Linked DNA regions of Kluyveromyces lactis. Each later gene encodes a partner of the first gene's protein in a complex. Links are inferred from orthologs where the notes say so. Each region holds a gene or a part of one and is shown on either strand. Other genes may lie near its edges.

Region 1 (2,951 bases):
GCTATCTGCTGCACTATACAAAGATCAAGGCCGATATGTTCGTACGCGCTGCACCAAGATTATTGAAGTCTCCGGTCATGCGCCGGATGCTGTCTGGAAAAATGGATAAAGCTGAAGAACCACCAAGTTTTAAAACCATTTTACTTGTTGGTTTAGTTGGGACTGCTATTTTTGTTAAGGCAGTCGACTCTTTGGAACAGAACAAGCCTAAAAACACGTACACATTCTCTGAATTTGACACTGTGATGAGTGGTCTAAGAAGAAGAGTTTCGATCTTTGAGCAAGATGATTTAAATTTAAGATGTGTGCAAACCGGAGTTGCAACCAAGAAACTGAAATTCCCCGAAGATGCGAAGGTTATCAAACCTTCAGAAGCTATTGAATTCTTCAGAAATAAGTCTGACGATAAATATTATGTGCTTTTAAATGATTTATATGAAAAGGAGGGGAAATCGTACATGGAAAAACTACCAACAGGTCTCTCTGTCGTCTTGATAGGTAAATATATGAAGGAGAAATGTCAAAAGGGTGACACTGTTTATCTACTTGACTTCCCAGACAATATAAAAGATGCGATCAAGTTCGAAAATGAGGTTTCCGTTATCGACAAAGTTATTGTACCAAATTCAGAAGGAGACGGCCAGGTTTCCAAATACTTTAAAACCGTGGATAAAGTTGAGACCATCTAAAATGACCCCTCATGCCATTTTCCCCATCGGCACCCTTTTGCATATATCTGGGGACTTCCTATAACAATCCATCCAACTTTATCTCGATTAAACTTTGTAAATATCATCAGTATCTAATTGCCATTCAGCAGAAGTACGTTGTGAATAGTGGGATGTAGATATGCTTCGAATAAAAACGTCAATATTTATGTTATTTCTTGGAACTTCCGAATTCTGTGAAACCCATTAACCTGCCGATTTCAGACTGTGGTTGATATTTGATTTCTGCATCAGATTTCTCACATTTGACTCTCTTTGCCGCTTTGCGTTTATTGGATCTCAATTCAGTGTCCCCGATAAATGCTGATACAGATTTATGAAACTGGGATCGTACCTCATTAAGTGGTACTAGATCATTATCCCTCGTATCTTTTATCAATGGCTCGTTGAATATGTTCTCAAACCGTACAACATGTGATTTGTGATTCAAATGGTTAATGAATTGTAGTGTGTCTTTGAAGGTTAAGTCACATATGTCACAGTAAAACCCGAACTGTTTACCTTTTTTCTGCTGACTTAGATTGGCTGATAACGTCTTTTTATTGATGTCGCGTAGATTATACTCGAGTAAAGCATTGTAGTCTGTGTATCTATCTTTTAAAGCTTTCAGTTGTTCCTGGTCTAATGATGAAAGATGAGATTGCCCTCCTGGAGAAGTTGCTGCCTTGGCAGCATACTCTTCTCTATTCCATGTTCTTCGTCCAAATGACATATTGATTTATAGTGAATAGTACTCCTTCTCAGAACTCAGTACCTGATCTCTTCCTAGGTCATGGAACTTATTATGCATGTCAACATTAAATTAGTTGATGTTTTCCATATTGGATCTTTTAAGTCATTTCATCTCAAAAGAAGGCATAAATGGAACTACAAATTAGTAAAGTACAAGAGTATTTCAAAGGAGTCAGCCATTGTCATATTAATTGTAACAGTTTGCTATCATGTCACAGTCTACTCATAAGCTTACCATTCTCCCTCATATCATAAAATGGGTTCCCAAAGATCCCGCCCCTGTAAGGAAGGTCATCTCATTTGACCTTGATCACACCGTGATCAAACCAGTTAAAGGCCGATTCAGTAGGACATCAGATGATTGGATATTCATGAAATATGGAAAAACCGAGGTACTTGCTAAACTTTCGGCACAAATGAAGGAAACACCAGATTTTCACATCGTCTTCTTCTCCAACCAAGGCGGTGTTGTTAGTGAACCTAGAACCTCTAAAAGCTGCGTAAAACACGTTGATAAAATTTGCAAAGTATTGAAATACATATCGGAAAACGATTCTCAACTGTGTGATCGTATTTGGATTTACTGTGCTACTAAAAAACCAGCTTCCCTTTTTGGTGGCAGCAAAGCCGCCAGCACTGCTCACGCAAATAAAGTTGTTAAGAACATTATTTCTGGCCAGAAGAAAAGAATAAACGGGACAATGGTAACACCTGAAATGTTTGATAATGTGAGAAAACCCAATCGTGGTTTGTTTGATGAATTTCTTAAAGATTCTGACGAACAATCGGACTCAATTGAACTTTTATTTTACTGCGGGGATGCTGCAGGAAGACCAAATGATTTTAGTGACAGTGACAAAGAGTTTGCTAAAATATTGGGCGTACCTTTCAAGGTACCGGAGGAATACTTTATTTGAATTTCGAATGATCTTAAACCTACGTAAAATATATTTATTTACTAAGTTACTTTAATGATTGAAGGATGAGCGTATTATAATGAATTTTTAATTTTAGTATAATACAGCGGCTTTTTCAAAGAGTTGTTCTACAACTCCATTGAGTTGATTGATCAATTCTAACGAAGAATCATAAGTGGCATCCTGTTGTGGTGTCTCATAAATATAAAGCCATCCGTTTCCTTGGTCAAGCACACCAAAGAAAACTTTGTCTAAAATCATTTGTGAAAGTTTGCCCTCTACTTGTTGAGCATCAAGCCCGATAATCTTTGAGATATGCGATACTTCAACACATTCGAATGGTTCGATGATCTTACTAAGATTTGATTCCAAAAGGGTGTCGTATAATGCATTGAAATGTGATCTAATGAGTTCATCGCCCATCAATTCTGTCTTATAATTTTGCATTGCTGTATTGAACTCCAGTAGGGATCTATTATTATAAGCCTCAGCGACTGCCTTCATGGCGTCAATTCCGCGACTTTGGTAGGTCTCCTTAGTATATTTGGCGTTCAAGATAGTTTTCACTTCATCA
Region 2 (2,627 bases), on another chromosome or scaffold:
TACATCAACAATTGATATTACCATTCATTTCTACCATCATCCTGCCGTTAATTGGAATTCTTACCATGTCATTACCAGAAGGATACACAATTAGAAGAACCAAGAAAGATGATTTTTCTGGGGTTACATCTGTGCTGAAAGTGCTAACGATGGTTGGTGATGTGAGCCAAGATCAATTCCATTCACTAATAGACCATTGGGATTCAGTCACGATAGGAGATATACCTATGTACAATAGCACTGTGATCGTTGACACAAATGGGGAAGTTGTCGCCACAGGAAACGTGCTAGTCGAGAAAAAAGTTATTCACGAATGTGGGCTTGTTGGTCATATTGAAGACATTGCAGTGAGAAAAGATCAACAGGGGAAGAAATTGGGATTGATATTAATTCAGTATTTATACAAATTAGCTAACGAGTATGGATGCTATAAAGTTATTCTTGATTGTGATGAAAGTAATGTTGGATTCTATGAGAAATGTGGATTGAAAAAAGCTGGTGTCGAAATGCAAATCAGATTCGACAAATGATGTTGTAACCAGTGTGCGCTCTATCATATCTATCCTTCCTTTCTACTAGCATAATTCATTGTACGTAAATGTCACTAAGTAAAGTGTTCCGACACATTGAGTTGTATTTGTCTCCCTTCTGCTCTTACAAACTGTCAAGAGGTTCTATCGATACAATGGAGTTACCTCTAACAACAGTCTGGGGTCCCATTTGGACCTCTCCTTCTTCGAAAATCTGTATTGGATTATCCAGTACTAAGTTCAAAAATGCATCATATCCTCGTAATATTCCAATAATTTTCCTATTGCCGTTAAGCTGTAGAATGAGTTTCTTGTCCATGTACTGTTTGCAACGAATCATATTATAGTTAGTAATTTAAATTCTGATAAGATTTTTCCTGGAAAACAGGGGTAAACATACTTTTCTCAAATCTGGAGATGTCATGGAATATTGGATGGTTTATAATGGGTCGTACGGAAGTGATAAGTCGTAGATATAGTCTCTTAACTCTTGGCAAAAGTCCTTCGAAATTTATCTTCAGTATATTTCAATTGATGAATTTTGTACATAATTATGCTTTTTCCATTCAAAAGTAATTTTCAATGTCACAATGTTAAGAAGACAACGATGGTCAGAATAAGTTACTAAAGCATATCGACCCTTACTGAAAACATTCGTTGTCATTGGCATGAATTTCAATCCCGAGCTAAATATGGTAAGTAGGGATAACTAGTAAGAGAATATCAAAACGATAAGTATTATGCGCTAAGTGCAATTATATATATATATAGGGAAATTGGTATTTACATGATGTTAAAGGGTTTTATAAAATAATGTGCAGTATATGCAATTACTGGCTATGACTGCTGTAAGTGGTACATGAATAATGAGAATGCCAATGTCGTAATTAGTTCATCCAATCAAAGAATTATGAAAGAATGAAGGTGGAATGTATGACGGGAGAGCATATATGCGATTTAAGGATTTCATTCCCCTCTGATCTTCTTTAAAGTGTTAGACAAGAAATTTTCCAATTTCTTGATGGTTCCTTCATTGTTTTCAACTGTGTCTTTATCAGCAGAGGAAGAGTTGTCCTTAGCCGACGATCCAGAGGGAGTAATGGTCCTTCTTGCAGTGGTATCATTGGTCAAGTGGGCCAAGGTCTCCCATAGATAACGTTCTGTTTCATCCTTTGGTTTTTTGATAACAATCTTGAACTTGACAAGCATGTCACCCCTGTCACCTCTAGCTCCACGAGGGACACCCTTATTTGGAATTCTGATGACTTGATCGTGTTGAGTACCAGAGCTGACCTTCAATCTGATCTTTTCTTCCTCTACGGTGGGTACTTCAATGACGCCACCTAGTGCTGCCGTTGTAATTGGGATTTCCTGAGTGTAAATGATGTCGTAATTATTTGAAACTTGGAATCTTGTGTCTTTCCTGACTCTGACACGAATCAACAAATCGCCTCTGGTTAAATGCAATTCAGATTTCATGGACGGATCGATAGCCATACCGGGGTAACTACCTTGGTTAGGTACTCTAATTGTGTCACCGTCCTGAAGTCCGTGAGGTAAGTCTACGGTGATAGTTTTATTTGAATTCAATTTGAAACCGTGGCTATGACAGGTACCACATTTATCGCTGTCCTTAATAGTTGAACCCTCACCATCACATGTTTGACAAGTAGAGGCCATTTGGAAACCTGCTCTTACATGTACCTGAGTACCTGTACCATGACATGTAGGACAAACACTTCTCGAATGTCCAGCTTTCAACCCACTTCCATCACATGACGAACACGGATCGTAGCATTGGTAATTCAATTTGACATTCTTCACACCGAAGACGGCATCTTTGAAGGATACTTGGAATGGTACAGTGACATTCTCACCTTTATATTCACGGACAAAATCGGAACCGCCAAATCCTGCTCCATGCGAACCAGCTCTCCTGCCTCCGGCACCACCACCACCACCACCACCAAACGCACTTCCGAAAAGATCTTCAAAGTTCAATCCACCGAAATCGAACCCTCCAAAGCCTCCGAATCCTTGTGCACCACCAGCACCAGCACCGCCATAGGCACCGCCTGGTCCACCGGCACCACCAGC
Region 3 (3,758 bases), about 290 kb from region 1:
GAATGGAATCTATTCAAAATCATCATTTCAACAAGGTCAATAAGGATTATAATGATATTAAGGAAAAGCTTGAAGAATCCGAAAAGAAGCTAAAAGATGATGACGTTAAGGTAAAAGATTTCCTTGAGGAATCAGAAAAGAAGCACAAACAGATTGAATTCATAGATTCAGAAATTAATGATTTAATGACAAAATTAGGGTCTAAAAGCGAACCACATAAGGTTTTGAAGGGTTTACTAGAAGAAATTTCAAACTTGCAAGATGCCCGCGAGAGAGAAAAACGAAATTCGGAGTCTAAATCTTCTGAGAGAACATACATGCAAAAGGAGATAGAAAGAGCCGCTCAATCTGTTGATGAAAGCAACAAAGAACAAGATAAATTAAGAGAAGAAATCAAGCTCTTGAAAACGAAAATAGAGGACAGTGTAGCCGAAAATAAAAAGAAGGTTGCCAGTGCTGAACAGAGAATAGATCTCTTGAAATCACAACTACAACAGGAAGGGCAAAATCTTGGAGGGCTTCATTCTAAACTTGGATATATAACTGATAGACTATCGAAAATTCAACCCAGCAGAGGAAGACAGGCGACTAATGGCCGATCGAAGAAATGATACGTAATTTTAACATCCATAATGATTAACGTTTTTACAAATTTGCGTAGAATTAATTAGACTCCCCATTTGTTAACTGAGCGGTCCCAACCCGCGCTATATATATCAGGACCTACAATATCAATTGACATAACCTTATCAAGATGCCCTTCAAGGCTTCGTTCCTTTATCCAGTTCCCATCATTGAAGATATTTACTTTCTTGTCATATCCACTCGACACTAAATATCCTCCGTTTTGCTTATTGAATTTGACTTGTGAAACAATGCTATTGTGAGCTAAGATCGTTTCCACATTTCCCTTTTTCCTAATATCCCAAACCTTTATAGTCCCGTCACCACTACCAGACGCAAGCTGATATCCATTTTGGGACCAGTCAACGGAATAAATAGGTTTTGAGTGTCCCTGTAATGACATGATATTTTTACCGGACCGTATGTCCCATATTAATGCAATTGCATCCAAACCAGCTGTACTCACCAATGAGCCATCATTGTGAAAAGATAGTGAGAAAACCTCCGCAGAATGACCTTCCTGAATCAAAATAGGGGCTTGTTTCACAGTATCTATCAGGATCCATGTTTTGTCAAAAGACGTACTTCCAATAAAACTATTACATGGATGGCATCGTACTTGGGCAAACCTGGCATCATTTTTATACAAGATCTTAACTGTGGTTTCATCACCACTATCATATATTACAATGCGTCCATCATGGGTACAGACAAAAATGTTTTTAGAGTCCACGCTCCAATCCAATCCACTAATCTTTGTGCCAGATAAAGATCTATTGCAGTAGATTTTGGACAACGAATTATCGACCAGAGACAAATTTCCGGACCAACTGCCACAAGCCATCAGGTCTCCACCAGGAGAAGTATTAATTTCAGAAATAGGTTTCTCATCTATCACCTGCATTCCCTTCAAAGAGAACTGTTTCAATTTACTTTCCAGGTCCCTTCGCTTACTTATGACGTTTTTCACATTTTGGCTGACAAGTCTTCGTCTCTCCTCCTCAAGCCTCAGCTTAGAGCGTTGCATAGAGTATATTATAAGAAACTTCCTCATTTCTATCAACTGCTGTGATGCTGGAGTGTAGAACTCCTCGTCTTCATCATCTACTTTACTTCTTTCAGTATCGATTTTCGTCTGGTCTTTGGAAGTTGACTCTACTAACCTTGTAACTCGTTCTCTGGCTTTTGGATCGCTAAGAATAAGATCAGAAAGTCGATCTCTGCGAGAATAATTATCTTCGCCAGCGATATCAACGGGCTCTCCCACTAGCTCTAGTGCTCGTCTAACGTCTGTATCTAGAGTAGGCACAATTTTGAGCCTTTCTTGCCTTTGGAATTCCAATCTTTTCAGAGCATCTCCGACTGATTGCCCATCCTGGTTTTTGTAGTCAACATCTACCTGCAAATCATCTAATTCTACCATTAGAAGTTACTGCAGATAGTCCAAAGGTGAGTTGTTACCGGTGCCACTTTTTTGATTTCATCTCTTTATCATCTCACTTCTTTAAAAGCATATTCATAAAATGAACTTTATCGTTATTCCTGAATATGAATAGTTCAAAAGTTGGAAAACAAGTGAGGTACTCCATCGAGTAAAAAGGGTCTGAAGCTAGGCGTCGATCGAACGATCATGAGTGAACAGCAGTTGTTAAGAGATAAACACATTGATTATATTGCGTCTTTAGATACTAAGAAAGATGATCTAGAGTACTGGCTCTCAGAACATCTAAGGTTGAATGGGGTATACTGGGGATTGACAGCCCTCTATCTCCTTGATTCTATCGAAACATTCAATAAGGAGGATGTAATACAGTTTGTCCTAAGCTGTTGGGATCATAAAACTGGTGGGTTTGCTGCGTTTCCAAGACATGATGGTCATCTATTAACGACTCTTTCAGGGCTTCAGATTTTGGCTACTTACAACGCTTTAGAGCGCTTGGGTTCAGAGAAGCAAGAACAATTGGAAAAATTTATCCTATCCAATCAAAAAGCAGACGGCTCATTCCAAGGTGATAGTTTTGGTGAAGTCGACACACGTTTCGTATATACTGCATTGAGCTGTTTGTCCATTTTACACAAATTGACGAAAGAAGTTGTAGAACCAGCAGTTTCGTATATCCTTAGATGTTACAATTTCGATGGCGGATTTGGCTTAAATCCTGAAGCAGAATCTCATGCTGCTCAGGCATTTACTTGCATTGCTGCTTTAGCAATCGTCGGAAAATTAGACTCTTTAACTCCAGCTCAGCAGGAGAATATTGCTGTTTGGCTCTCAGAAAGACAAGTTCCAGAGGGGGGCTTAAATGGTAGGCCAAGCAAACTGCCCGATGTATGCTATAGCTGGTGGGTATTATCAACACTTTCAATACTCCAAAAAGCTGATTGGATTGATTTTCCCAAGCTAACGGAGTTCATTTTGCATTGTCAGGATCCCAAAAATGGAGGGATTAGTGACAGACCAGACAACGAAGTCGACGTATTTCACACGGTTTTTGGTCTAGGAGGATTAAGTATAATGAAGTATCCAGGATTAAGAGATATTGATCCAGTATACTGTATGCCATATACGGTGACGAAATATTTCCAACGCAAGTACTCAGATTAGTGTCTTAGAAACTTAAATAAATTATGAATGCTAACGACCGCAAAAAGTAGGTCCACAAGTAGTTTAATATTGATAAATTAAAATGGTAGCTCTTCCTCTACTAGAACCTTAGAAGCAGGGAAGAATTCTATATATTTGGCAGCTCTTTTGTGAATAAATCTACCGGGGTTGATCGTTTTGCATCCGTTGTACGTTACATCGAAAGCTGGTGCGCTAGTGTCACACAGCATGATACTCGATGGAAGCGGTGATAGCTGCAATGTGAAATCAAGATCCCAAACAGTTGGTCGAATTCTTGATGAAAACGGAGATAGATGTTGTTGATCGAGCAATGTTTTCACCAATTTCCTCGATTCTAAAACACTTACAGGCAAATTATTCTTGAATGCGATTAACTGGCCTACTGAAACATCCGGGTTTCTTGAATATTGCTCTTGAAGTTCTGCATTTTCCAGATATTTCTCCTCTTCCACAGTAGGGAAAACAATATTGTATCTTTTAAATCTATTTGCTAAATCATCGCGTGTCA
Region 4 (4,034 bases), on another chromosome or scaffold:
GGAAAGTTGTATACCATATGACTTTAGATGGTACCAGGAAAGTGTTTAATATGCATCTCGAAAATGATCCATTCAAATAAGTGGGTAGAATTCCTTCCGGGAAGTTTAGAACTGTATTCTTCAATTTTGATGAAGATACCTGTGGTGCATGCAAATAGTTAGCAAACGTTACAAACGCGAGACATAGCGATGCGCTTAGAAGGAACTGCAATTCCGTTAAACCAACAGGATGTGGAAATCGGGATAAAATGGCTTTTGACAGGTTTGATGAAACAGAAGAAGTCATATACCATATAAGGCATAAAATAGATATGTGAACATTCACTTCCGGTAAATACTCTTGTACATCCTTGGGAAATAGATTGACAAATTGCTCTTTCCACGTCTGATTTTGCAGTCTTCTGACCTCATTGAACGAAGTTGAATGTTTATGAGACCTGTAATTTTCCTGGAACGGTATTTGTACCTGGTTGACAAAGTTAACATCTGAAAATGTTTTATTGATCGAAGGACGGCGCTTCGAAGTGACGCTCTTGGAAGTTACAATCATTTTTCGCTTATTTTATTCACACCTTCTTAAAATCAATAAAGCGAGTGGAACGAAGTTGAATGAGAATAATTTAGCAAACGATAGAATAGATCGAAAAGAACTGTTACTTTATGGAGCGAGCAGCGATTTTAGAGCCGACTGTCACTATGTAAGAAGTATCTCTTTCTATTACAAGTCGCCAAAAATTGATGCCATGTTATTATATTATATATTTCCAGTCTTTTTTCTTTCTTTCTGACCGATGTGATGTTTTTGCTTGCTGACGTTGTTAACGTTTTTTGGCAGTCACGTGGAAAGCCAAGCACAAAGGGTTCTCTGCAGAATGGTGCTAGCTCGTGATTGCTGTGGGCAGAGCAAGACAATTTTCTAGGAAGCGTCAATTCAAAATGCCATAGGTTTTAACTCTAATTACTTTGAATAAGTGTGATATGTAAGGTTCTATAGTCCCAAGTATGAGTCTCTTTCCAATTGTTTCTTTCTGTCCGCCATTTTCTTCCGTTGTCTTTCCAAAGTCTTCTTACTGGATTTTGTCCCATGCCATGCTTGAGAAAGTTGTTTATAGGCCTCTTTAGTTTTCAACTCATTACCCTCGGAATCCTGATATGCGAGTTCGACCGTTGGGTTGTAGTCTCTTAGTTTTTCCTCTTGTATACGTTGAATTTTCAATGCCATTTCTTCCGCTTGCGCAGCTTTAATCTTACGCAATTCGTCCTCAGAAAAGTTTACATCATTGGAGTCCAACTTTTCGTCAACAGTCTTAAGGGAATTCACAATGCCGTTTAAGATCTCAAACTCTTTCCTGACATCCGTTCCGTGTTTTTTACTGTCGCTTCCCATATTGGGGCGATCGTCTTGCTTAATTATATTTCGTTCCTTCAAGAAGTTCAACATTCCTGCCACACCTCCTGAGAAATCAGGTTGCGTGATATCGTTATCGGTGACTAATGTTGCTGGAATAGTTCCCGTTTTATCTTTTTGCACTGGTTTCAAATCGATTTTTATGGGCAAATCATCATTAACAGGTTCTCTGTCAAGAACGTTCGCCTTCAAAGAATCCAAAAATTCATCGGTTTCATCCAGAAGAATTCCTTTATCACTATTGTTCAACATATGAATTCCTTTGCTTCTTTGCTGTCCTTCGAGTTTTTCCAACTCCAATGAATTCTTTATCCCTGTTATTTCCTCATTACTGCGTTTCTGTTTGACTTTGACAACTGCCTGAATTGGCCGGTCTGAGAAATCCTCATCATCTTCCAAAAGATCAACTTTCACCATTCTCGCTGTGTCTATTCTTCTCGGTTTCTGGTTTTGATTTGATTTCTTCTTTCGCCTTTTAATCTTGACTGGTGCGTAATCTTGATATGGTTGCTCATCATCTGAGTCACTTTCAATTTTGACCCTCTTAGGGAGAGACTGGTGAACAGGTAATGGTTTATCATTTACTAAGGAGTCGTGTAATGGTATGTCAGATCTTGAGTTTGTATCATTAGCCTCATCGCTGTAATCAAAGATGGAGATTTTGTTTAGTTTTCTATCTTTATTCAATTGCCGTAGCTTAAGATTTTTGGCATCCTGTTTATCATGAACTAGCTTCTCATTCTCTAATATGTTTTCGTCATCAATATTCTCTTCGTCGTTTGTCACTGAAGTTTCTTTCAATGTAAAAATGACTGCTTTCTGTTCAGCAATAGATTTCAGTTCATCTGATACTGGGATATGGTGATGCGTAATGTCATCATGTACAGTAGCATTTTCAGCAGAAGATTCTTTGTGAGTGATAGGTTTCCCAATTTTGGAAAGCCAGTCATCAATAGATTCTTTATCAGTAGTCGCTCTTTGGTCCACTGCTTCCTTTGATTCATATATTCTTTGTTTTAGTTGACCAATCTTTTTATCACGATCTTGAGCGCTTCCATTTATTTTTCCAGAAGCACAATCCTTTTCGGAGGGACGTGAACTTAGCTGACTAGATCTTCGTACTTTCCTATTTGTATCAGATGCACCTTCTTTTGATTCTGTTGACGTCTCAGTGGGCCTAGGTATAGTCTTCAAACCTAAACTTGCCCTAATTCGATTTGTTTCTTCCAAAGATATAGAAGTAATCTTACCCATGGCTTTGAAGTAACTGTATGCCTCGTAGAATTCGTATTGTGGTCGAATATCCTTATTATCAAATCCTGTTGCTTTCTTTCTGCCTCATCTCATCGCCAACTTGTCCGAATTTAAGAATTGTATATTTCAACATTTTCATCAGTGAATATTTTGATGTAACTATCAAAGCCATTGACGATGACAATGAGAAGAAGAGTACAGCGTATGACAATAATTCAATTATTATATTTTGTTTGAATTTGATACAGACTAATTTACAGAGGTACACACATAGTATGTTCGTATGTAATGGAACAGATTTATACGAGGTTATTAGAGATTTAATGCAAAAGAGTGGGGTTTTAATGTGAATACTATATCTATTTCTTTTCCTTCTTAGATTTCTTATCCTTTTTTTCTTTCTTTTCCTTCTTTTCCTTCTTTTCCTTCTTGTCTTTCTTCTCCTTCTTAGACTTCTTAGATTCCTTAGACTCTTCATCATCGTCTCTCTTTCTCTTCTTATCCTTCTTATCCTTCTTAGATTTCTTTTCTTCCTTGGTTTCTTCCTCGTCCTCGGATTCATCATCAGAGTCAGCAGGAGCAGCAGCTGAAGACACGGTGTCAGCATCTGCGTTGTATGCTCTAGCCTCTGTGATTTCAGTCTTCTTGTGCTCACGGACGACCTTTGGTGTGGTTCTCAAGTCTCTGCCTTCTAATTGGGACAATCTTGATTCTACCTTAGCTCTGGATTCCAAACCGATGTCACCAGAATCGTCTCTATCTTCAGCCAAAGCATCGTAACGCAAAGAAACGGCAGCCTTAGCAGCCAAAACTCTGGCAATCTTACCCTTGTTCTTACCAGATGCTTGGCCAACCAAGGAAGCGTGGTACAATAGACCATATTTAGGAGTGTCATGCTTAGTTTTCAATGCTCTGAAAAGAGCCTTTTCAGCACCCAAGATTTGGATGGTGGAAGCTGGAGACTTGGCCAAAGAGATTAAAGAACCAGAGTGTGCGATCAATCTAGCACCAACCAATTCACCAACTAATTGAGTCAAATTTGGAGCAATAGCCTTCATTCTTGAAGACAAATAGTTAGAAAGTTGTTCTCTGTAGGCAGCAAATTCAACAATTTGTTCGGCTAAACACTTGATATTAATCAAATCAACTGGGGTAATTTCAGTACCCATGGAGACTTCGGCAGCGGTCTTGACTCTCTCTTCAATTTCTTCAGGCAAAATTTCAGACATGTCAGTTTCAGCAGCATTAACTCTAATACCCATGGTCAAGATTATTCTGGCGTAAGCAACAGAATCAGTAACAATCTTGGCCAATTCTGGGAAATGCCAACCGTACCATTCCTTACATCTCATAGCGTAAGTGTTTAATTCTT
Region 5 (3,128 bases), about 300 kb from region 1:
TCACAAAAGTATTTAACTTTGAGCCAAAGATATCGGTTTTACCGCAAGACGGGCACATATATTGTGATATAAAGGGTAATCCTCATTTCGCTATTACTTTATGATTATATTTTATTGCAGTGACGAGGCCAACTTGCTGGCAGTCGTCATCGAATCTTAAATAATATGTGCATTTTATACTGATCATTGCATACAAGAAACTAAAATTATATTATCCTGGGAAGCGTAATTCAATTCTGTTAAAAAACACTGGTACCGACGACACCTAATTCAGTTGAAATGCTCCAGGTTCACCTTAGCAATATACTCTGGCCTAAAGTGACTATTATAAATAAGGAATGCTGCCACTCCATTTCATATAGAAGATGTTATAGATAAAAACCTTAAGAATGAAGCGGTGGCTCAATGGTAGAGCTTTCGACTCCAGTTAAATCCTGGAAATTTCTATGGAAACAAAATTGCAATCGAAGGGTTGCAGGTTCAATTCCTGTCCGTTTCATTTTTGCATTTTTTTTGGAAATCACTACCCCAACTCAACTGGAAAACTAGTAAGCAATAAGAAATCCATGGTGGCTGGAACAGCTGTTACACCGTGAACGAGACCTTCTTGGAATGAAAAACATAAGGTATTAATCTCTAGAGATTTTTTTAGAATGAGCCTTTGAATTGTAAAACCTACATAAACTATACTATCATTAATTATACTAATACTAATATTCCCTTTATTAAGATAAGCAGTTCCCTAATTCTATTACAACTGAGGAAAGCTATACAGTGAATCCATAATTATTCCGATGTTTCCTTGTTTGCTTCAATAATATTCAGACTAGTGCTATATTAATTCGCTTCTTCTGCGAGTTCTCCATTTTCCTCTTTATCGTCAGATTTCTCTGTTGTTCCAGTCGGCGTAGGGGGTTGATCACTTTGCTTGTTCACATCCTCTCCTACGTATAGCACGTTATTACATCTGATGAAAATGTCCCCAACTTTCCCACTTGAGACATCATTTATGATCTCTTCCGCATCTGTTAGTTGTAGATTGAAATATGTATCTACCGATACAAGTCTTCCTTTATATTGTATTTTATTGAATTTGAGTGTCACCAGCACATCTTTGTCTATCAATTGATGTAAAAAGGGTTTAGGGTTAATTGGTTTGAATTCCTCTGGATCCTGCAACGTTTAAATTGGTTAGTAAGGTGACAAAATCTGTGGATTCATCGATCGCAGATGGACATAATCGTCCTAGCTGCGACCAAAAAAGTATGGAACAAGAAAACTTACCATTTCAATACGTTAATGCGCGGGTGTTCTGATATGTATCGATTACACGATATAATTCGAGAATCTGTTAAAGGTTTTATTACGTCTGTTGGTTGCTACGTAATGTTTTCGTTGTCTATCTTTTTGCAATACTGTATTTTCATGTTTTTCAATATGGCATGGAAATATTAGATGCCCTACCAAGGGAACAAATAAAACAAACCAAAGTAGTCCGGACAGTTTTCAAAAGTTTTTATGCCATGCACTGGGTAAGTCATACTTAGATATATATTAAATAATGACAATACGATATGTTTCTTCCAACAGAAGGAACAGGGTTCATTCAAATTTGAGTCAGTTTTAATGAAAGGTTTGGTTTACCTGAATCGTATTCAATTCTTAACATGGCCCACGTCAAATCCACAATCACTGACGAGATGGCTAACGCATAAACCAAAGAAATGGCATAGAAAAAGTTACTATTACCGGAGCCTAATCCAATCCATAGGTAGTAGAAGATTGGTGACAAAATGATGGCATGAATGAATAAAAGGGTTGATATGACTGGATATCTTAGATACCCAAAGATCGGTTTGAAAAATGGGATAAAACTTAAGAAAAACCCTCCGTCACCTAACGTTGGGTATGATTTGGTGAGCGTAATCCAACCTAGACATAGAACAAATGCGTAAAACGATTGCTGATTGAATCTAATAGTGAAAGGTGGGATAAATGAAACAACAAATATGTTGAACACAGATTTGAAAAATGGGATGAAAAATTCGAACATTTCAATAAAGAAATACCACCACAACCCTAGATTTGGCCTTATCTTACTGAAAGTAATCAATATCCAGTATGTTGAAGTCAAATAGTTCCAGTTATCGTTATTTAACTTGAAACTGATCAACTGCAAAACAATCGATACCAATGTACACTTGACAACAAGGCCGAAAGAATTTGATCCACAGATTCCTGCCAATGGGATCAACAGTAGATAAGCGTAAGGTGATAAATAACCAGCCAACGCAATGCATATGGCTGACAGTGAGAACTGTCTAGATAACGCAAATAGTAAAGAAGTAGAAATGGAAAGGTTCACAAATAGACATGTCGATTGTGAGACACATGATAAAAGTACCAAAGGGTTCACTGCATAAACCACACCTGGAATATAACTAGGAATTTGCAATTGGCGTTGATATATCTTAGCTATTTGCATCAATTGATACGCTATTAGAGTGTCCATGGCCGCAAACAAAACGGGCATTAGAAACTCCGCTTGTTGAACGAATGCCATTAAAGCTACCAGCAGAGGCACATGATGCACAACACCACCATCATAAATGGGCAAATTATGCAGTAAAAGATACGCACCTTCTTGCAGAGATCTATAGCTTGTAACCGGAGTAGAAAACTCAACGGTTCTGTCCAATTGCTGCTGCAAAGAAGGGAACAGGTACGAAACAGCCAATCTGGACGCAAAACAAGCCCATACAACCTGCCATTCGGACGAAACCATAATCACCTCAAGCGACACAACAAGTCAACACAGTAGGGTCACTTCGTATCCTCTCAGAATCGTATCACCGTTCAATGCAAAAAAACAAACCAATCGTGAACCGAGCTTCGTAATTGCAGTACAAATTATGCATATTTGAAAGCTTATTGTATTGAAATGAAGTACATCAGTTAAATCAATGGTAATACAAAAAGTGATCCACACAAACATTACCCGGACACGTGAACAGTTTACTCTAATACGTGTTTACATATCACGTGATTAAGATACTCGCTTCTAAAACAGCAGAATTTTGCAACCTGCAGTCGAATGTCAGGTTTAGTCACAACAATACTGTGTTTAA
Region 6 (2,848 bases), about 1.9 Mb from region 1:
CCTCATTAAAGACACGTAAAATGAGATAAATGGGTCTTTTGGTAGGCAATGAGCCTATCAAATTATAAAATGTCACTGCTTTTTCGTAGTTTATAATTTGATCTTTAACAGTTGGTTTGAATAATTGATTCAAAGCTTCCGCTGTACCGAATTTTTGAACAATGTATTTTTCCACAGGAATGAAGTAGCTGTTAAGCTCTTTAGCGGGGGTCTCATCTCCTGTCTGATCTTTCTTATACGATTCGAGACATTGACCAACTATATTGGATAACTGTTCAAGGTCCGGCAGTATCTTGCCCTCAGTATCCCTAGAATTTGCTGTTTGTCTCAAAACAACAGTCACCTCACATATTGTACATTTGAACTTAACTGCGTCTATAGGATGTCGTAACAAGGTTCCGCAACATCTACATCGAGTTTCCCTAAATTTTGGCGGGTCTTCACAATCCAACCTATCCGAACTTTGATAGCGGATTTTTATCTTTTCCCTACCAACAATGTGTAATGGGTTAAACTTGAACATATTCGAGCAGCTACTGATGGACAGTCAGACTTCTTCCTCTAAGTTCATTTCAACAAACTTGTAAATTTAGGGTTGGATAGTCGAAAGCACAAAAGATTGTGTCAAATTTATTACTTTTTTTTACCAACTGACAATATCATCTGGAATACACAGGCCTGTAACCATTTCTTAATTTGAACAGACAAAAAAAAACTATGTACTGACCACTAACTAGAACCATCAGATGTTGATGTCATTGTTAAGAAGGATGCAAATGTATCAAAAAGTTGTATTAATTGTAATATATATGTTTAATATACAGAGGTCGTAAAAAAAAAATCTACCTGTCGATCACTTGAATCAATGAACGTGCAGTAAATCTTTTCTTTGCTATGCAAACCCCCCACAAAGCGGTTAACTCCTTAAACGATTGATATAAAGAATAAGAAAAGGAAATCACGAAATGTGCAAATCCTTCTTAAATCAACAAAGTTTCAATCTTGTCCTTAACGGCATAGATTTGGCTTTTGATAGCAGAAGCATCGTTAGTGGTAATAGAAGCAGCAATAACTGGTCTGGAAACACCACAAGCTCTACCCAAAGCAGTTCTGGATGGAACAAAGACGTATGGAACGTTCTTATCTTCACACAACAATGGCAAGTGCAACAAGATTTCAATAGGTTCACAGTCAGCAGCCATGATAATGAATTCGGAAATACCACGGTTCAAAGTCTTGGTAGCTTCGTTAGCACCCTTCTTCAATTGTCTCATGTTGGAAGCTTGTTGAACAACATCCAAGATTTGTTGGGACAAGGTGGCATCAGCCAATGGGAAAGCCTTTGGGTTTGGAGCAGACATTATTTCTTTATAATATGAAGTGAAGTATCCGATTGGGTCAGTTCAAGTTCCTTGCAAGAATGAAAAGCTCGCTTGAATCTGGTGTTTTAAGACTAGAAATAAGATCGGATCAAGTCCAAGTCTAAAAAAAGTTTTATCATAAAGTGAGATGAGATGGAACGAGATGAGATGAGGTTAGTCTCTTGAAATCATTTTCTTTAGTTTTTCAATTTTTGAAAATTTTCGAATTCCTCGACTGATGAGCAAAAAGAAACAAATGGGATCACAAACTGGTGTAATGTACGGCTGTTTCACTATATTAATTCAGAAGAACGATATACATTCCTCCTATTGTGATCATTTGGCCATTCTCCGCCATTGCTATAGTACTCTATTATGGTCTAAAACACGCAGTCTGTAGTTGTTGTTCCCCATCGTATGCTTCATACTTCCCCAGGAAGAGCTGCTTTCACTCTCAGTTCTTTACCTAATTTCAAAGGTGCATATTTCTTTGTATTGAAAAATGTACGTATTACAATATGTAAATTTATCAACTCATTTATGAATAAACTCATAGTATTGCCCTTGACTTAGGTATGACCCAATTGATGAGCAATAGCTAGCTATGACTGACCAAGAGGTAAATGAGGAGCAGGCTCTGCGAAATATACCAGAAGTCGGTAATTTCGATAAGTTCACTTCTGTGGATTGGATTGAGGAAGAGAAGCGTGAATTGTCCAAGGGAACATCGCATGACGAATTTGATATACCGCGTTCGAGTTGGTATGAGTACCGCAGGTTAATATGGAAAAGAGGTAGCAGTTTCATTACTTTGACTGCCATTGGGCTTTCCATTGGCGGTATTGCTGGTTTTTTACAAATATTCACTGAATTGTTAGTAAACTGGAAATCTGGACATTGTGCTAGAAATTGGTTGTTAAACAAGGCATTCTGCTGTCCTAAAGAAGAGATCAGTAAAAGGAGTTATGGTTCCATAATAAGTTCGGCTGGCAATGCCGCAGAAATATTCTTTAAAAGATCCCAAAGCGAATGTATCGAAAAAGGTATTTGGGTAGAAGCAACCAATCCAATCTTTTCATTTTTGCTATTCATGTTCTTATCGGTCACATTTGCAACTATTAGTTGTCTGATGGTCCTACACATTGCACCGTTTGCCACTGGATCTGGTATTTCAGAAATTAAATCCTGGGTATCAGGTTTCCAATATACCCCGGAGTTTTTGAATTTGAAGACCCTTATAGTAAAATCTGTCGCTTTACCGCTTGCCATTTCTTCTGATTTAAGTGTTGGTAAAGAGGGACCATCTGTTCACTATGCTACCTGTTGTGGTTATGTAATTACTAATTGGCTCTTGAGCAAGGAGATGGCCTTCCCAGAACAATCCGAATACTTGACAGCTTCGACGGCAGGTGGTGTTGCAGTAGCTTTTGGTGCACCTATTGGAGGTGTCTTATTTGCACTTGAAGAGATGTCAGCTTCTATTCCTT
Region 7 (2,927 bases), on another chromosome or scaffold:
CACAACAAGGAATTGATTGAATTCAAGGCTAAAGAACGCAAACTTGCCAACTTGGTACAGCTTTGTCATGCAGCAGACCATTTCATTGTGACAGAAGAACAACTGGTGGCCAGTGTAGAAAAGGCATTCGCCTCGGACAACCAAGATGTATTAAGAAATAAGTTGTCTTTGTCGACTTCTCAACAAACAGCAAGAAACGAAGGTGAAATTTCGGATGCATTATTTGGTACTTTGGGCAACGGCAAATACGTAGGTTTGCCAATTGTGAAGGAATTTTTATCTGGTGAGATGGAACAATTTAACCAGGAAATTAATACCAAATTGGATGAATTAACTAAACAAGCGGAAGAACGTAAAGACTCTGTCCTTTGAGATATATCTTTTAGATAATATCACTGACACAAAAGAAACCATATGAACTTAAGGTATTCTCCCCAATCTGAGCAACACATTGTAAATAGATCCATAAGATTACGAACAATATATCTTTATTAGCCTTGATAGTGCTTGTCGCCGTTATCGAAATTTCAGTGCCTTTCATTTTTCCGTTATAATATACAGGCTTATATAATTACACGACAGAGTCCGATCAATGCTTCTACACTCTAAGCATCTTTCTTTCATCCTATTATCATTTTCTGAGTAGGCATTATCAATTTGCCACAACAAGTGTTATATTATCACCTTTCAACATAATTCTCCCAAGAAACACTGCTTTATCATCGCTCTCTTTACCACTTTTCGGATCTACAGCTATTTCGAAAGCGTCATCTATTACCACATTCATGAACTCATCAAAGCCTCTGATCTTGCCTCTTATACGTGTCTGTACTTGTTCGTATAACCAAAACGTTACTGTTGTCTGATGATGAAGGTAGTTGTATATGCAATTGATTGGAGGTACCATAGGAGCTCCTACTTTAGAGCCGGACATTTTAGACTTTTTCTAGAATCTTTCGGTGTATTGAAGGTCGATGTTAGTGTAACTATAATCAGATCGCAGTTATCCTTTATTAATGTCAGTCACTAGTGCCATGTTGAATTCGTTTGATATTAGTTTAATAGGATTATTGTTAACATATTAAAAAAATTTTATATATTGAATCAACCAAAACATTTGATCTTACTTATGCACTATAAAAGGAACTCATAAAAACTGCCACAGCAGATACCGTTGAGCAAGAACGACGTGATTGATCAATATTGATGTTGTATCAAATCCCAGATATCAAGAGTGCATTGATTTGTACTCAAAGTGTTTCTGAACAGGAGAAGAAGATACAAGCTTTACAATTTTTGGAGCAATTTCAAAAGAGCATAGAAGCATGGCAAATCTGCTTCGAAGTATTAAGCAAGCATGAAGCAGACAACTTACAGTTGCAAATGTTTGCTTGTCAAACTCTAGTGAACAAAGTCACCTATGATCTAAACCAGGTCAATACCGAATTAGAGAGTTTCAAGGGAAAGCTCTTTGAGTTCATCGCTATGTATGAAGAGAAGATCATAGTAACACAGTTGAACGTGGCACTAGCCCGATTTACCATTCAGTATCTTGATTGGAGGAATCCGCTAGTTGAAATTATTAATACTCTAAATGGTCTTCCGGGAAAGTTACTACTGTTTTTGAAGATTCTCCCAGAGGAAACATTGGATATCAAATCCACTCCTCTATCCCAAGATGAATTTGAGTGTAGAACACACGAACTTATAGATAACATTGGAGAAGACGTATTGAAATTTTTGATTTCATGTTTGGATAGAGTCGGAACTGAAGGCATATCTGCTTCTAAAATCATTTCGTGCTTTGGATCGTGGTGTTATGAATTTCCAATAGAACAGGTATTACAAGTGACTCCATTGATAAACACCGTGTTCCAAGTCTTGCATACTTCATATGATACTGATTCTGATTCTTTTGAAGCTGCAGTAGAATGCTTATGTGTGTTATTAAGAGAAACGAGAGACGCAGCCAACGATACAATCATACATGCGCTTTACGAGCAACTTTTAGCTTTGCAACAAAAGCTATTGCCAATCACAACCATTTCTGACTGGGAAGAATACGAAGAGATTATGGATCCACTCACACGTTTATTCGTTGAAGCTGGCGAAGCGTGGTGTGTTTTTCTTGCAAAGAATCCTGCCTTATTCAAACCATTGGTTGAAGTCATCTTGGTATTAACTTGCAAGAACACTGACCTCGATATCGTTTCGTATACTTTCCCATTTTGGTTTAATTTGAGGCAAATGTTAGTTTTACAACGTTACGCTCAACAAAGAAAAGAATATCAGGATGTATTTATTAATTTAACGAATGGTTTGATTACACATTTGCATTATCCGGAAACTGTTTTTGAAAATAAGGAAGATGAAGATAAATTTAAAGATTTTAGGTATAACATTGGTGATGTACTTAAGTCTTGTGCTGCTGTCTTAGGTTCAACCGTTGCATTGCAGCAACCATATAATCTTATCAACCAATATCTTCAGAAAGAAGATCCTAACACGGTCTGGCAACCACTAGAGGCTGCCTTGTTTGCTGTTCGTACAATGGCTCATGAAATTTCTCATACTGAAAACGTTGTGCTACCCCAACTTTTCAAACAACTATGCATACATCCACTAACTCACCCCAAATTGGTTTATTCTACAATACTCGTATTCTCGAGATACACAGAATGGACCAGTAAACATGAGGATCTACTGGAAATCCAATTGAATTATATATTCAATGGATTTGAAGCAGGCCAATCAAATCATGATCTCTCTGTTGCTGCCTCCAATGCATTAATGTATTTCTGTCAGGACTGCTCGTCACTTCTTGTTAATTATTGTGGCCAGTTAGTGGATTTTATTTGGAAAATTGAACGCGCAGTTGACAACTACTCTATGTTTGAGATGTGTCAAGGCTTAAGTTCTGTCATAAA

What was found.
Region 2: SNU23 (region 1) and SMX2 share a complex: the UniProt entries of both Saccharomyces cerevisiae proteins name them as parts of the U4/U6-U5 tri-snRNP complex. The link is inferred for Kluyveromyces lactis from reciprocal best matches to the Saccharomyces cerevisiae genes SNU23 and SMX2.
Region 3: SNU23 (region 1) and PRP4 share a complex: the UniProt entries of both Saccharomyces cerevisiae proteins name them as parts of the U4/U6-U5 tri-snRNP complex. The link is inferred for Kluyveromyces lactis from reciprocal best matches to the Saccharomyces cerevisiae genes SNU23 and PRP4.
Region 4: SNU23 (region 1) and SNU66 share a complex: the UniProt entries of both Saccharomyces cerevisiae proteins name them as parts of the U4/U6-U5 tri-snRNP complex. The link is inferred for Kluyveromyces lactis from reciprocal best matches to the Saccharomyces cerevisiae genes SNU23 and SNU66.
Region 5: SNU23 (region 1) and SMX3 share a complex: the UniProt entries of both Saccharomyces cerevisiae proteins name them as parts of the U4/U6-U5 tri-snRNP complex. The link is inferred for Kluyveromyces lactis from reciprocal best matches to the Saccharomyces cerevisiae genes SNU23 and SMX3.
Region 6: SNU23 (region 1) and SNU13 share a complex: the UniProt entries of both Saccharomyces cerevisiae proteins name them as parts of the U4/U6-U5 tri-snRNP complex. The link is inferred for Kluyveromyces lactis from reciprocal best matches to the Saccharomyces cerevisiae genes SNU23 and SNU13.
Region 7: SNU23 (region 1) and SME1 share a complex: the UniProt entries of both Saccharomyces cerevisiae proteins name them as parts of the U4/U6-U5 tri-snRNP complex. The link is inferred for Kluyveromyces lactis from reciprocal best matches to the Saccharomyces cerevisiae genes SNU23 and SME1.

What each region holds. Positions count from the first base shown.
Region 1 is NC_006041.1:138,994-141,944, reverse strand, and holds SNU23 (U4/U6-U5 snRNP complex subunit SNU23), read right to left. Parts: upstream 1,441-2,951; coding exon 880-1,440; downstream 1-879. Other genes in the region: AIM36 (Aim36p), read left to right, coding at 36-689; TPP1 (polynucleotide 3'-phosphatase), read left to right, coding at 1,670-2,377; proteasome regulatory particle lid subunit RPN6, read right to left, coding at 2,471-2,951. UniProt on the Saccharomyces cerevisiae protein: Participates in pre-mRNA splicing. Part of the U4/U5/U6 tri-snRNP complex, one of the building blocks of the spliceosome.
Region 2 is NC_006040.1:658,464-661,090, reverse strand, and holds SMX2 (mRNA splicing protein SMX2), read right to left. Parts: upstream 955-2,627; coding exon 931-954; intron 853-930; coding exon 655-852; downstream 1-654. Other genes in the region: GNA1 (glucosamine 6-phosphate N-acetyltransferase), read left to right, coding at 1-530; MDJ1 (Mdj1p), read right to left, coding at 1,497-2,627. UniProt on the Saccharomyces cerevisiae protein: Plays a role in pre-mRNA splicing as a core component of the spliceosomal U1, U2, U4 and U5 small nuclear ribonucleoproteins (snRNPs), the building blocks of the spliceosome.
Region 3 is NC_006041.1:426,567-430,324, reverse strand, and holds PRP4 (U4/U6-U5 snRNP complex subunit PRP4), read right to left. Parts: upstream 2,048-3,758; coding exon 668-2,047; downstream 1-667. Other genes in the region: HDA3 (Hda3p), read left to right, coding at 1-611; Rab geranylgeranyltransferase BET2, read left to right, coding at 2,255-3,229; DPB2 (DNA polymerase epsilon noncatalytic subunit), read right to left, coding at 3,307-3,758. UniProt on the Saccharomyces cerevisiae protein: Involved in RNA splicing. Is required for the association of U4/U6 snRNP with U5 snRNP in an early step of spliceosome assembly.
Region 4 is NC_006042.1:798,602-802,635, forward strand, and holds SNU66 (U4/U6-U5 snRNP complex subunit SNU66), read right to left. Parts: upstream 2,663-4,034; coding exon 989-2,662; downstream 1-988. Other genes in the region: SLY41 (Sly41p), read right to left, coding at 1-550; RNA-processing protein NOP58, read right to left, coding at 3,022-4,034. UniProt on the Saccharomyces cerevisiae protein: Component of the U4/U6.U5 tri-snRNP particle, one of the building blocks of the spliceosome. Required for pre-mRNA splicing.
Region 5 is NC_006041.1:435,878-439,005, reverse strand, and holds SMX3 (mRNA splicing protein SMX3), read right to left. Parts: upstream 1,288-3,128; coding exon 1,285-1,287; intron 1,174-1,284; coding exon 838-1,173; downstream 1-837. Other genes in the region: GPI-anchor transamidase subunit GAB1, read right to left, coding at 1,607-2,785. UniProt on the Saccharomyces cerevisiae protein: Plays a role in pre-mRNA splicing as a core component of the spliceosomal U1, U2, U4 and U5 small nuclear ribonucleoproteins (snRNPs), the building blocks of the spliceosome.
Region 6 is NC_006041.1:2,008,675-2,011,522, reverse strand, and holds SNU13 (RNA binding protein SNU13), read right to left. Parts: upstream 1,362-2,848; coding exon 981-1,361; downstream 1-980. Other genes in the region: putative E3 ubiquitin-protein ligase HUL4, read right to left, coding at 1-523; GEF1 (Gef1p), read left to right, coding at 1,966-2,848. UniProt on the Saccharomyces cerevisiae protein: Common component of the spliceosome and rRNA processing machinery. In association with the spliceosomal U4/U6.U5 tri-snRNP particle, required for splicing of pre-mRNA.
Region 7 is NC_006037.1:204,361-207,287, forward strand, and holds SME1 (mRNA splicing protein SME1), read right to left. Parts: upstream 935-2,927; coding exon 653-934; downstream 1-652. Other genes in the region: mitochondrial 37S ribosomal protein PET123, read left to right, coding at 1-372; mRNA transport regulator MTR10, read left to right, coding at 1,207-2,927. UniProt on the Saccharomyces cerevisiae protein: Involved in pre-mRNA splicing. Binds and is required for the stability of snRNA U1, U2, U4 and U5 which contain a highly conserved structural motif called the Sm binding site. Involved in cap modification.